2 linked regions of the Caenorhabditis elegans genome follow. The protein of the gene in region 2 interacts with the protein of the main gene of each other region in a pairwise test. Each region holds a gene or a part of one and is shown on either strand. Other genes may lie near its edges.

Region 1 (4,668 bases), on a different chromosome or scaffold from region 2:
AAATTTGGCCGTTTCAATCTGTGCTCTTTGAGTAGCTTCAAGCCATAACCTCAGTTTTTTTTCTTCAACTTGAGATTATTTATACATTTTTGAACTGAATATAGTGAAAAAATTAACAAACCACCATCTGCTCGCGAATTCTGGCGTTTTTTCTTGCTTCAATAATTTCGGCAATTACTACAGCAAAAAAAATTCCAAAAGCATCCGAAGGAGAGAGGAGACCACCATCCGCGACCATTGATTGGCTAGAGTCAGTCGAATCGGCCATCTAAAAGAAATAAGTTTGGAAATGGAATAAATTTGAGAGAAATAGTTCATACCGATGCCACAGCTGATGGTGATGCTGCCTGGCTTTGCTGATCCGTCTGAGGAGAGGGAATACCTGCATTGGCGACCATTGATTGGCTAGAGTCAGTCGAATCGGCCACCTAAAAGAAATAAGTTTGGAAAAATAAGTACTTTCACTCAATAATTTGATCATTCAAATGATTGCCCATCTTGGCAATCCTTCTTAAAATGACAGTTATAAATAAAATAGTTTAAAAAAAAAATAGAAACAAACAAAAGTCACCCAGTTAAACCATAAAAAGACATTTTGCTCGTTTTTTTCCACCGGTGGTTAAGAGAGAAACTAAATTAGGCGCCGATTATTTCATAATGATAGTAGATCAAATATTATCAATGTAGGTCTAGTTGAGAATTGTGCGAGAAAACGTTGAAAACACTGAAATCTATGATTGTATGATGTTCCCTGGCCATCTCGAATTTCTAATTGTTTTCAAATCAATGATCTTCCTGTATCATGAACATTTTTTCAAAGCATATTTCGCAGGATATTATTGAGAGAAGATGTATGTATCATTATTCATTATTCGAAAATTATGTCGGTGTTCACGAATTCCACTTTTCACATCATTATCAGGTAGACTTTTTCACTTTTCACTTGAATTTTAGTCAACTACAAGTTTTGACTATTTATTTCAACTCACCTTTAGACTATTAAAGGTGGAGTAGCGGCAGTGGTTAAAAACCACTCCTCTGGTCCCAAAATATTCAAATATCGTGATAAAACGTTTGAAAATTATATTTGAAATTTAATTTAAATTATTTATATTAAAACATTGTAAGGGTCGAAACATGCGAAATTTTTTTAAATTTCCTCAAAAGCTCGTATTTCTCAAAATTTTGGCAGTCTGCCGAAACTTTGACCGGAAATTAAGAAAAATTTGTTTTTTGTAGTGTTTTATTATGATATTCGGTTGTTTTGGATCATTATAAGTGCATTTAGACAAAATCCCCACTGGCGCTACTCCACCTTTAAAAAGAAACAAATGCCATTTGGAAGATTGCAAATTGTAAAAATGCTTGCAAACAATTTAGCGGCACAGGAACCCTTTGAATTAGAAAACTACCTTCTTTGTTTAAATTTTTGCCCCTCTTGCAGTCAGATACTGTTTCCTCGTGTTCATAGATCGAATCTGAAAAACTCGGTACTTAGTGTCGATTCGGCACTTCGGCACTTTGCAAACACATTTTGCTGAAAAACTGGATTTTTTGTACGAAAACGCGGTTTAACGCTTGCTCGAATACACTGAAATGTGACCATTTAGCAGATTGAAAACAAAACTGTTCTAAAAATGTTCGAAAATGTTTTACCGAAGTTTAGAAAAATAAGAGCTGAGTTTACCTAATAACGCAGCACCGTTGTTACACTTTTATGAGAGCGTGAGCAATTGAATTTTATATATTGAAACTCATTGTAACACTTTTTGCACAACCCTATTTTTTGGTAATTATTGATTGAGATGAGCTCATTTGCTGTTGTCTCGTGGGATGACCTCTTCAGTGCAATATCTTGTCTTCCCCATTACACAGTACTACCACCGTCTATTCTTCATTTGTCTCTTACGTTCTTTCGGATCGATTCATCCAATTTTTCTCCCACTGGAATAAAATTATATGCATTATTTGATCCTAGTGGCACCTTCATTTGTTCCCCTTTAATTTTATTTTCAGAAATTTTTTGGTGATGCCATTTCATTTTCCACTTTTCCCACATCTTGTCCAAAAACAAATCTGCCAGGAGTTTTGCGATCTTGACGCTCTAATATTCATGTTTGCTTCTGAAAAGTCAAAAATCATAGCTACAAAATCCAAAAATGATGCCTTATCCATCTTGCAAATATGCTTCAGAACTTCCGAAGATCATGATCACTGGTTTGAATTGACAAATCACAATTCCAATTTTATGGGACGAATTTATTTGAAGAAGGCCAAATCTGAGGAAGATTTGCTGAAGCGTGGGCGTCCTTTCACAGTGGAAGTGGATGAGTTGAAGATTCCGTTTTGGTGGGTTTTCTTTCTTTTAAAACAATTGTAAAAGTCGTATACTTACATATAACAGCCGGCAGAAGCGTTTGGCTTAGGCTTAGGCTTAGGCTTATGTTTATGTGTGGGCTTGGCGTCAGTGGTAAGCGTCAGCTCGCTACTGACGCTATTTAGGCTTAGGATTTTCCGGTTTTTTTGATTTTTGAGGGGGTTCCAGTCGGCTGATCAACGCGAATTTTTCTCGTATTCCGTTTTGGTGAGTTTTTAATTTTAAAAGCATTGCAAGACGTTGTAACTTCCAGAACTTTTTTCAGTGTTTCACCAGTCACCAATACATTTGACAACAAGAAAAAAGTTTTCCTTACCTTTCTCGGACCAGTGAAACAATTTCACGAAGCAATTCATCTTTGCATAACTTCCTTATATCGACCCACACCATACAACAAGTATGAACTCACTACAAATGTGGACGATCTCACTTGTACTCCTGACATTAAGAATATGAAAGAGAGCTATTTAGCGACTATAAAATCTGAAAGCCTCAATGCAAGCACCATTGACAACTTTTTATCTAAAAAAACAAGCATTGAAAAGCTTACATTAGGAATGAAAGTTCTCGATAATTTTCAAGAGGATTCAGCTATATTTCGAATGAAATACTTTTGGTTCACTTATTCCCTAGAGCATGCTCCAATTGTGCTCTCCAAGTTTCAAGGAACTCATTTATGGATGACCGATGCCAATATAAAAAATGAAGATATCATTTCATTTTTGAACACTTGGCAAAACTCGGAGTGCGATCGGAAAATATTTGAAATAAAGGTTTCTGAGGGGATGAATCCTTTGAATCCGGATATTGTGTATGAAGATATTGACGTCAGCGATTGGGATCCTGCAGAGAGACCGAAAGAGTTTAATTTTGTGTCGACGTGAGTTTCAGCCTTATTGCTTCAAAATCCTTTCAGGTTGATGCATCATGTCCTCACTTAACTTGGCAAGCTAATATCTGTGTTTATGTTTAAGTTGTCACTAAGTTGCCAACTACAAAATTGTTAAGAATTAAACGACCAATATTTGGTTAGTTGAACATTTTCTGATAGAGCTGAAGTCAGCTGAGATACGTGCTCACGGAGTTGAGCAAGACATGGTGCATCGACCTAGATTCTCTCACTTGCAGCTAGCTCCGGCAGTTTTTATGAGCGGCTGGGGCTGAGTTTTGAGCAAGACAAGGTGCATCAATTTATTTTTTTTTTTAAAGATATTTATGAATTTTAATTACTGATTTATTGCCAAATTTTTTGACAATCCCAAAGCCTGCCAAAATGCAAGTTGTCAAAGTTTAAGTTTTTTTATTTCAGATTTTTCCCAGAAAACTTCAACAAAGTCTATGATTGTTCCACGTGGATGGATATTAAAAGATCTGGCGACGGAAAAATAGCATCAATCTGTATCACTTCTAATGCATTCAAATTTCTTGTCTGGGATTGAATTTGTTTTCAGAATTTTCTCATTGCTTTCTGGAACCCTTAATTTTTATTTTGTACATGTAATGAAAAATAATTGAGTTTATATAAGAATGAAGCCTGTAAATTAAATTTTTCATTTTTTGAGCAAAAAGTGTTGTAAATTTCACGCTTATATAAATACGAGTAGGCATAAGGCAGGCAAGCAGGCAGATCTAGGAAACCTAAAAGGCAATAAGGCAAGTCTTGGCAGCCTAGTAGGTAGGCAGACCTCAGCAGGCAGGCACATTCAGCCTAGAAGGCAAGTATGAATGCCTAGGCAAACTAGTAGGTAGACACCTCTGGAGCGCCTAGAAGACAGACTGGATAACCTGAGAAGCCTAAAAAGCAAGAATGCAAACTTAGGTAGCTTAATAGGCAGGCAAGGCAGGCATAGACAGTCAAGTAGGCAGGCAGCCATCTTCGTACCTACGCAAGTTTCTTGATTTTTTCTATACATTTTCCAGCACTTGTTTGCTATTTACAAGCTCCATATTTCCCAGCAGCTGAAGCTGACTGAACTGAAAATAATTACTCGAGGAAAAATTTAATTTCAGAGTGGGGGAAAAGCTCGAAAAAAAAACAGAAGAAGTTGTCAACAAACCTCCTTTTCCATTTTATTCCCCCCGTCATACACACTTTTGGTAAACATGAGACAGCAGAAAAATAAATTTTTTCCGTTTTTTTCTTTTCCACCTCCCTCTCTATCTCTCGAATTTTTCTCCCAACATGCCAAATTTTCCCCGTTCTTCGCAGTTGGCTGACTAGCCATGTTACTTTGATGTTTATTTTCTGATAAAAGGTAATGATAAAGAGGTAACTCTTATCGTGTTTTGTT
Region 2 (7,844 bases):
AAAATGGAAAATCCAATAATTTCCCTTAATTCTCAAAATTAATCATTAATAATCATTATTAAAGGCGGCTCAGACGTCCAAGGAAGTTTAGCCTTCATGTGGATCAGGAGAAATTGCGTGTGGGAACAATCTCAATCATCGCCAGCCTATGAATCCCGGCTAATAGCAGCGCCAGGAGGCTTGAGGAGCGCTGGTCGGCACTGTTGGGTACTTTTACGCGCCGGCCGACACCTCGCGGGTTTCGCGTGCCTCTATCTATTGCGTGCGACTCTCCTCGTTTCGCACACTCTCTCGCGCGCGCGCGTTTGATAACTTTTCAACACGGACTGTAAACGCACAAAACGTCTTATTTCCTACATGATAATCCAATTTTTCATCCAAAATTAATGTAGGCAAGTAGAAAAAGGCTTGTTCTATCTGAAAATACTATTTATTTCTGTGGAAATGCTTCAAAAACGCCTCAAAGGCCTGTTTCAAGCTTTTCAACAGAAATAAATATAATTTTCAGATAGAACAAGCTTTTTTCTTCATTTCTACATTAATTTTGGATGAAAAAATTGGATTATCATGTATGGAGAATTAATTTATTTATTAAAACATGAATTTGAATTTGAATTTTTTGTTTATTTAAATTCAAATTCAAATTTCTCGAACATTTACAGCATTTACCTGAACATTAAACTGATCCAAAATGTCAGAAGTAATCTCATATGGAGCACCGAACACAACTTCATTCACTGGCTGAAAAAAATTTTTTAATTTTCAATTTTTTCAATTTATTTCGAAAAGTTCAAACTACAAACCTTATAGGCCAGAACGGATAGTACACGCTCGTGAATCGACATTATGGGGTGATTGCTTCCCTTGTATTGATTGACAGTCTGTGAAATTGATAGTTTTATTCGATTGTGGTAGATTTCTCATTTTTTTAATGTAAAAATGCCGAAAGTTGGGAAATATTTTTAATCGACTCCAAATTTTCCCCTGATTCCGAATATCTAATCAAAAAAATTTCCCCTGATTTTATATTTAAGCTTGAAATCGCCAAATTTCATTTGTGCCCCCGCATCACTTTTTTGAATGCGCGCCCAAAGAAACTCGCATTGGAGCGCGCTTGTACCGTTTTTTTTTTTCATTTTCTTCATTTATTTTCGCCGAATTCAAGTTTTTTAACCAGTTTCATTAATTTTTGTCGATTTTTTATCGGTTTTTTCGACAAAAATTATTGAAGCAGGTTTAAAAAATTGAATTCGGCGAAAATCAAACGATGCAAGTGCGCTCCAATGCGAATTTTTTGGGCGCGAATTTCAAAAAAGTGATGCGGGGGCACAAATGAAATTCGCCGATTTCAAGCTTAAATATAAAATCAGGGAAATTTTTTTCGAATTTTTTCCGGAATCAGGGGAAAATTTGGAGTAAATTAAAAATATTTCCACATATTTCGCTACTCCACTTTTAAAAGAAATTTACAGAGAAATTTACGAAATTACCGCCAGGTGTGGTAGATCACAAATGCATTTTTGAGGTGAAAACGGGTTAATCGCTATTTTAACTTCATTTTTCGGCATAGAAATTTTTAAATAAAAAAAAGCACCTTGCAAATGCGCTCCATCGCAAATTTGATGGCTGAGATAAAAAATAAAAAATTGAAGAATTTGAATTTTTGTGAAGTTTTTGAGAGGATGGCACATCAATTAACCCTTTTCACGAAAAATTGATATTTTTAACGCCTTTTCTCATGGAAATCACAAAAAGAAACTTTTAAAATTTGGGTAGATCACATTTTTTTATTTAAATTTTAAAATCAAACTTTTTGTTTCAAAAAAAGAACAAATTCGCATTGGAGCACGCTTGCATCGTTTGATTTTCTTCATTTAAATTTTTATTTATTTTCGCCGAATTCAGTTTTCTAAAACCAGCTTCATTAATTTTTGTCGAAAAAAACAGATAAAATTTAGACAAAAATGAATGAAACTGGTTTTAAAAAATTGAATTCGGCGAAAAAAAAAATCAAACGATGCAAGCGCGCTCCAATGCGAATTTTTTTAGCGCGCACAAATGAAATTCGGCAATTTCAAGCTTAAAGGGATTGAATCAGGGATTTTTTTTGAATTTTTTCCGGAATCAGGGGAAAATTGGGGAGTCAATTAAAATTATTTCCCAGAAATTTTCTAAACAAAAACGCTCTACCTGATCCGATAAAATTCCCACAATCAGGTAATCTCCAAACTCTTTGGCTTTTTCCAGGAACGCCAGATGTCCAATATGGAACAAATCAAACGATCCGGTCACGTAGACAACCTTGTCCGTCGGTTTTGGCGGTCTTCCTTCGGCAAACTCGAGAATCGTTGTCGTTGTTGGGATGAAGCGCGAGACACGTGTCCAGGGGGACATTGCAACGTTGTCCTGAAAAGAAATTTAGAAAATTTACACTAAATTGTACTTATTACGTGTTTATCCAGAGATGAGAAAAATCGCCATATCTGACGCGCAAATGAACCCGCGGGAAGAGACAAAACTACTGTAGTTTTCAACCAATTTGTGTAGATTTATGAGCTATTGCGTCATCGTTGAATTTAATTTTGAGCCGCAATTTTTAATTTTCAGGCGTTTCACACGTTTTTATATTGAAATTTATCTATTTATTGAAAAATCTTAAAAGAAAACACACAAAAAAATTTAGAAAAACGCCTGAAAATTAAAAATTGCGGCTCAAAATTAAATTCAACGATGACGCAATAGCTCGTAAATCTACACAAATTGGTTAAAAACTACAGTAGTTTTGTCTCTTCCCGCAGATTCATTTGCGCGGCAGATATGGCCATTTTTCTCATCTCTGGATAAACACGTAATAGAAAAAGTAGATTCTAAGCTTGTTCTGAAAAAAAAATAATATTTTAAGCCCCATAGGGTTCCGGGCTTCCTCATTGAATTTTTCGCGCTCCATTGACAATCGCCTTGGGAAAGTGGTGTACTCCACACGGACAAATACATTTAGTTTTACAACTAAAATCGAACCGCGACGCGACACGCAACGCGCCGTAAATCCACATGGCCTAGTTCGGCAAAAACTCTTCCATTTCAATTTATGAGGGAAGCCAGAAATCCGTGCGGCCCACTAAAATTCAAAATTTGGTCCATTACCGCTATAAGCCTATTCAGACGCCGTTTTTTAGACTGCATACGCTGAAAAATTAAGCTTTGCAAAACTGGAAAAAACGACAAGCAGCCGGCTACGCTTACCTTGCTGTACTCCAGAATAGCCTAAAATTTTAAAAATTTTTAAAAATTAATTGAAAATCGTAGTAGCGCCAGTTGGGAAATTGCTTTAAAACATGATTTTAAAAAATTCAAAAAAATTTGAAAATTGAAAAAATCTCAGTTTTCCCCCTAATTCCTATTTGAATTTCCGCCGAAATGATGTGTTCGATGGAGCGCACTTGCATTATTTTTATTAATTTATTTCATTTTTTCTCATTATTTCACTGATTTTCTTGTATTTTTATCGGAAAAAGTGAGAAAAAAATGAAAGATAAATGCAAATTGTTTATTAAAAAATTATTGAAAATGGGAAACACTGTGGTAAAACCCATTTTCAATAACTTTTTTTTAATGAACAACTTGCATTCATCTTTCATTTTTCTCTTTTTTTTCCGATGAAAATACAAGAAAATCAGTGAAATACTGAGAAAAAATGAAATATATTAGTAAAAACAATGCAAGCGCGCTCCATCGAACACATAATTTTGGCGGAAATTCAAATAAATAGAAATCATGTGAAAACTGAGATTTTTCCAATTTTCAAAAAATCCAATAAATTTAGAAAATTTTTTTTCGAATTTTTTAAACCATGTTTTAAAGCAATTTCCCCCCAGCCAGTGGCACAAGTCTTCCAATAATTCCGACTTACCGTGCTCAGCGAACGAGCTCGTTCGACGTGTTGCTCGATGTGCTCATCCTGTGTGTGATGGTTCTTGGTGAGCAGAAGCATTCGGCCAACTAAATCAGTTGTAGAGACACCACACGTTCGCTTACATTCTCTGTATCGTTGGTGATCCTTCACCTCTTGATACGTGTCTTTTCCGTCGGCGGTTAGAGTTATGTCGTCTGGAAAATTGATCTACTTTTTTTACACGTGGTGCTGTCAGAGTGTCTCATTTCGGCTTGATCTTCTGGTTGATCTACAAAAAATGCGGCAGAGTTTTCAACTGATTTCGCATGGTTAAGAGCGTGTGCTGACGTCACATTGCTTTTGGGCGAAAAATTCCCGGATTTTTTTGTAGATCAAACCGTGATTGGACTTTAATTAATATTTTTACCTCCGTGAACACAAAAATCACAATCATACTTGTCCAGAGTTTCGACTGTTGTGGCGTATGGCGCATTTTCCACAACTTCATCGACCCATTTAATGCCGGCAACCATTCGATATCGCTCTTGTTCATTGAATACTGGAGGTCCTTTATGTAGTCGAATCTGGAATTTTTTTTTTGAGTTAAACTACAAATTTTCCCCTGATTCCGAATATCGATGTGAAAAAATTCCAAAAATTCAAAAAAAAAATTCCGTGATTTTATATTTAAGCTTGAAATCGCCGAATTTCATTTGTGCCCCCGAATCACTTTTTAAATTCGCGCCCAAAGAACTTCGCATTGGAGCGCGCTTTGATTTTCTTCATTTAAATATTTCATTTATTTTTCGCCGAATTCAGTTTTATTAAAAACCAGTTTTATTCATTTTTGTCGAGTTTTTATCGGTTTTTTCGACAAAAATTAATGAAACTGGTTTTAAAAAACTGAATTCGGCGAAAAATAAATAAAATATTTATTTAAATTAAGAAAATCAAAGCGCGCTCCAATGCGAATTTCTTTGGGCGCGCATTTGAAAAAAGTGATTCGGGAAAAACAAATGAAATTCGGCGATTTCAAGCTTAAATATAAAATCGTGGGAATTTTTTTTGAATTTTAATTTTTTTCACATCGATATTCGGAATTAGGGGAAAATTTGGGGTCAATTAAAAATATTTCCCAGATTTCGGTACTCCACCTTTAAAGGTCGGAAAAAATTGCAATAAAAAAAAATATTACTTAACGTTTTTTTTTCTATTTCAATTGGAAATTAGAAACGAATATGTTTTTTTAGTCACTAAAAATGTTTTTTTTTTGCTAAATTTCGATCTGAAATTTAAAAATTTTTAATGATTACCACAATATACCCTAACTTACGATATATTTAGTGAAAAATATTGTAAAATATTCTTTTTTTTTCCATGCAACCCCAAATTATAACGAAAATATCCATTCAATCAGAATATTTACCAGATGCCAACTATTTCGGGTCTCGACGCGATCTCGAAAAAAATGAAAAAAAACTGCAAAATAGCTAAAAGTACAGTACTCCTTAAAGGGTCACACACGCGTGTTCCTTTAAAATTTTTGTCAAGTCACGAAATTTCTTTTTAATTCGTGGCTTTTAATAAGGAAAATTGAATAATTGAATTATTTAAACAATATTTTTTACCTGAACTATCGTAATTTAAAGTGAAAATTAATTTAAATAATTCACAGAAGTTGATTTTTAAAATAATTTATAGCCACGTGGTGCCAGGGGTCCCTGTCCCATTACGGTTTGATCTACAAAAAATGCGGGAATTTTTCTCCCATTAAAATGTGACGTCAGCACGTTCTTAACCATACGAAATGAGTTAAGAACTCTGCCGCATTTTTTGTAGATCAGCGTAGATCAAGTGTGTTATAGGGAAAAATTTCGCAATTTACGAGTTACGACTTAAAAACTGCTAATATTTTAACAAAAATTTGCATATTCCCATCTTCTTTTTAGGGAGAAAAAAATATTGAAAACCTCTTCATCATTATGTACTCCAACAATTAACTTCTGTCCAAACTGCTTAGCCTGCCGTAATTGATTTGCATGGCCGAAATGCACCATGTCATAACTGGAAAATTAATTCATTTTAAGGCTCAATTCACATGGTGTCAAAGTGTCTCATTTCGGCGTGATCTACGTAGAGATCTACAAAAAATGCGGGAAAAGAGACGCAGACTTTTCAACAAAAATTGGTTAAGAACGTGCTGACGTCACATTTTTTTGGAAAAAAAATCCCACATTTTTTGTAGATCAAACCGAAAAGAGACACTTTGACACCACGTGTCGATTCCAGCCAAAAACCAACCATCCATCAGCCCAAACTCGATTTCCTTTGGGCAGTCCATCTGGTGCTAATCCGCTCATTTTTGAACTGAAATTTTAAAAATAATTTTTTTTTTTAATTTAAGATCAAAGTTCAAATTGTTGCAGAAGAAAAAAAAATTTAAAATCACGTTAATAATATTTTCTCACTTAAAATTTTAAAGGTTGAGTACCGAAATCTGTGAAATATTTTTTATATTACTCCAAATTTTCCCCTAATTCCGAATATCTATGTGAAAAAATTCAAAAAAAATTCCCTGATATTATATTTTAGCTTGAAATCGTAGAATTTCATTTGTCCCCCGCATCACTTTTTTTAAAATTCGCGCCCAAACAAATTCGCATTGGAGCGCGCTTTGATTTTCTTCATTTAAATATTTTATTTATTTTCCGCCGAATTCAGTTTAAACCAGTTTTATTCATTTTTGTCGAAAAAAATCGATAAAAGCTCGACAAAAATGAATGAAACTGGTTTTCAAAAAACTGCATTCGGCGAAAAATAAATAAAATATTTAAATGAAGAAAATCAAAGCGCGCTCCAATGCGAATTTCTTTGGGCGCGAATTTGAAAAAAAGTGATGCTAGTACAAGCGATTTCAAGCTTAAATATAAAATCAGGGAAATTTTTTTGAATTTTTTCACATAGATATTCGAAATCAGGGGAAAATTTGGAGTCAATTAAAAATAAATTAAAACAATGTAGTCAACGGACATTGAAGAGTGACCCCGACATCACCCGATTAAATAGCAATCGGAATGAAAAAATGCGGAAAAAAAAAGAAAAAAATTGTGACGTTATCAGTTCGAAAAGGACGTCGAACCCGGAGCAGACCGCCTGTCATGGAAAAAATATTTAGTCGAGTTTTTTCATTTTCAATGACGAATTGTGGAGGAGTTTCTCACAAAAAATTCAAAAATTGCACTTCCGGGATTTTTCTACTCAGTAAGCCTAGTGGGGAAATTGCTTTAAAACATGCCCATAGGGTCACAATGACCGAATATCACGATAAAAAAATTCAAAAAATTTTCTAGATTTTATATGATTTTTTTTTGAAAATTGAAAAATCTCAGTTTTTGCCTAATTCCTATTTGAATTACCGCCAATTGAAATTGTTCGATGGAGCGCACTTGCATTATTTTTATTTATTTATTTTATTTTTCTCATTATTTCACTGATTTTATTCGTTTTTTGGGGGTTTTTAATCGGAAAAATAGAGAAAAATGCAAATTGGTCATTAAAAAATTACTGAAAATGGGTAAAACTGTGTTTCGACGCCAAAAATCCTGAAAATAGCATATTCCACAGTTTTACTCATTTTCAGTTACTTTTTAATAAATCTTATAAGCATTTACCTTGCATTTTTCTCTCTTTTTCCGATAAAAATACACAAATAATGAAGAAAATCAGTGAAATAATGAGAAAAATAAAATAAATAGTGCAAGCGCGCTCCATCGAACGAACCCAATTGGCGGTAATTCAAATAGAAATTAGGGGAAAACTGAGATTTTTCAATTTTCAAAAAATCATATAAAATTTAGAAATTTTTTTTGAATTTTTTAATCATGATATTCGGCCATTGTGAAGCAATTTTCCCACTGGGCGCACTCCACCTTAAAAAAATTTCATTGAAAAT

Evidence for each region.
Region 1: the proteins of pcyt-2.1 (region 2) and K12H6.7 interact in a two-hybrid assay, tested with the Caenorhabditis elegans proteins (one large-scale study listed by BioGRID).

Annotation. Positions count from the first base shown.
Region 1 is NC_003280.10:2,834,199-2,838,866, reverse strand, and holds K12H6.7 (FBA_2 domain-containing protein), read left to right. Parts: upstream 1-1,913; 5' UTR 1,914-2,248; coding exon 2,249-2,349; intron 2,350-2,642; coding exon 2,643-3,257; intron 3,258-3,686; coding exon 3,687-3,816; 3' UTR 3,817-3,934; downstream 3,935-4,668.
Region 2 is NC_003279.8:2,077,376-2,085,219, reverse strand, and holds the start of pcyt-2.1 (ethanolamine-phosphate cytidylyltransferase), read right to left. Parts: upstream 6,262-7,844; 5' UTR 6,253-6,261; coding exon 6,194-6,252; intron 5,957-6,193; coding exon 5,863-5,956; intron 4,477-5,862; coding exon 4,320-4,476; intron 4,108-4,319; coding exon 3,911-4,107; intron 3,265-3,910; coding exon 3,244-3,264; intron 3,187-3,243; coding exon 3,145-3,186; intron 2,407-3,144; coding exon 2,191-2,406; intron 882-2,190; coding exon 804-881; intron 742-803; coding exon 670-741; intron 415-669; exon of another isoform or gene 193-414; intron 184-192; exon of another isoform or gene 65-183; intron 1-64.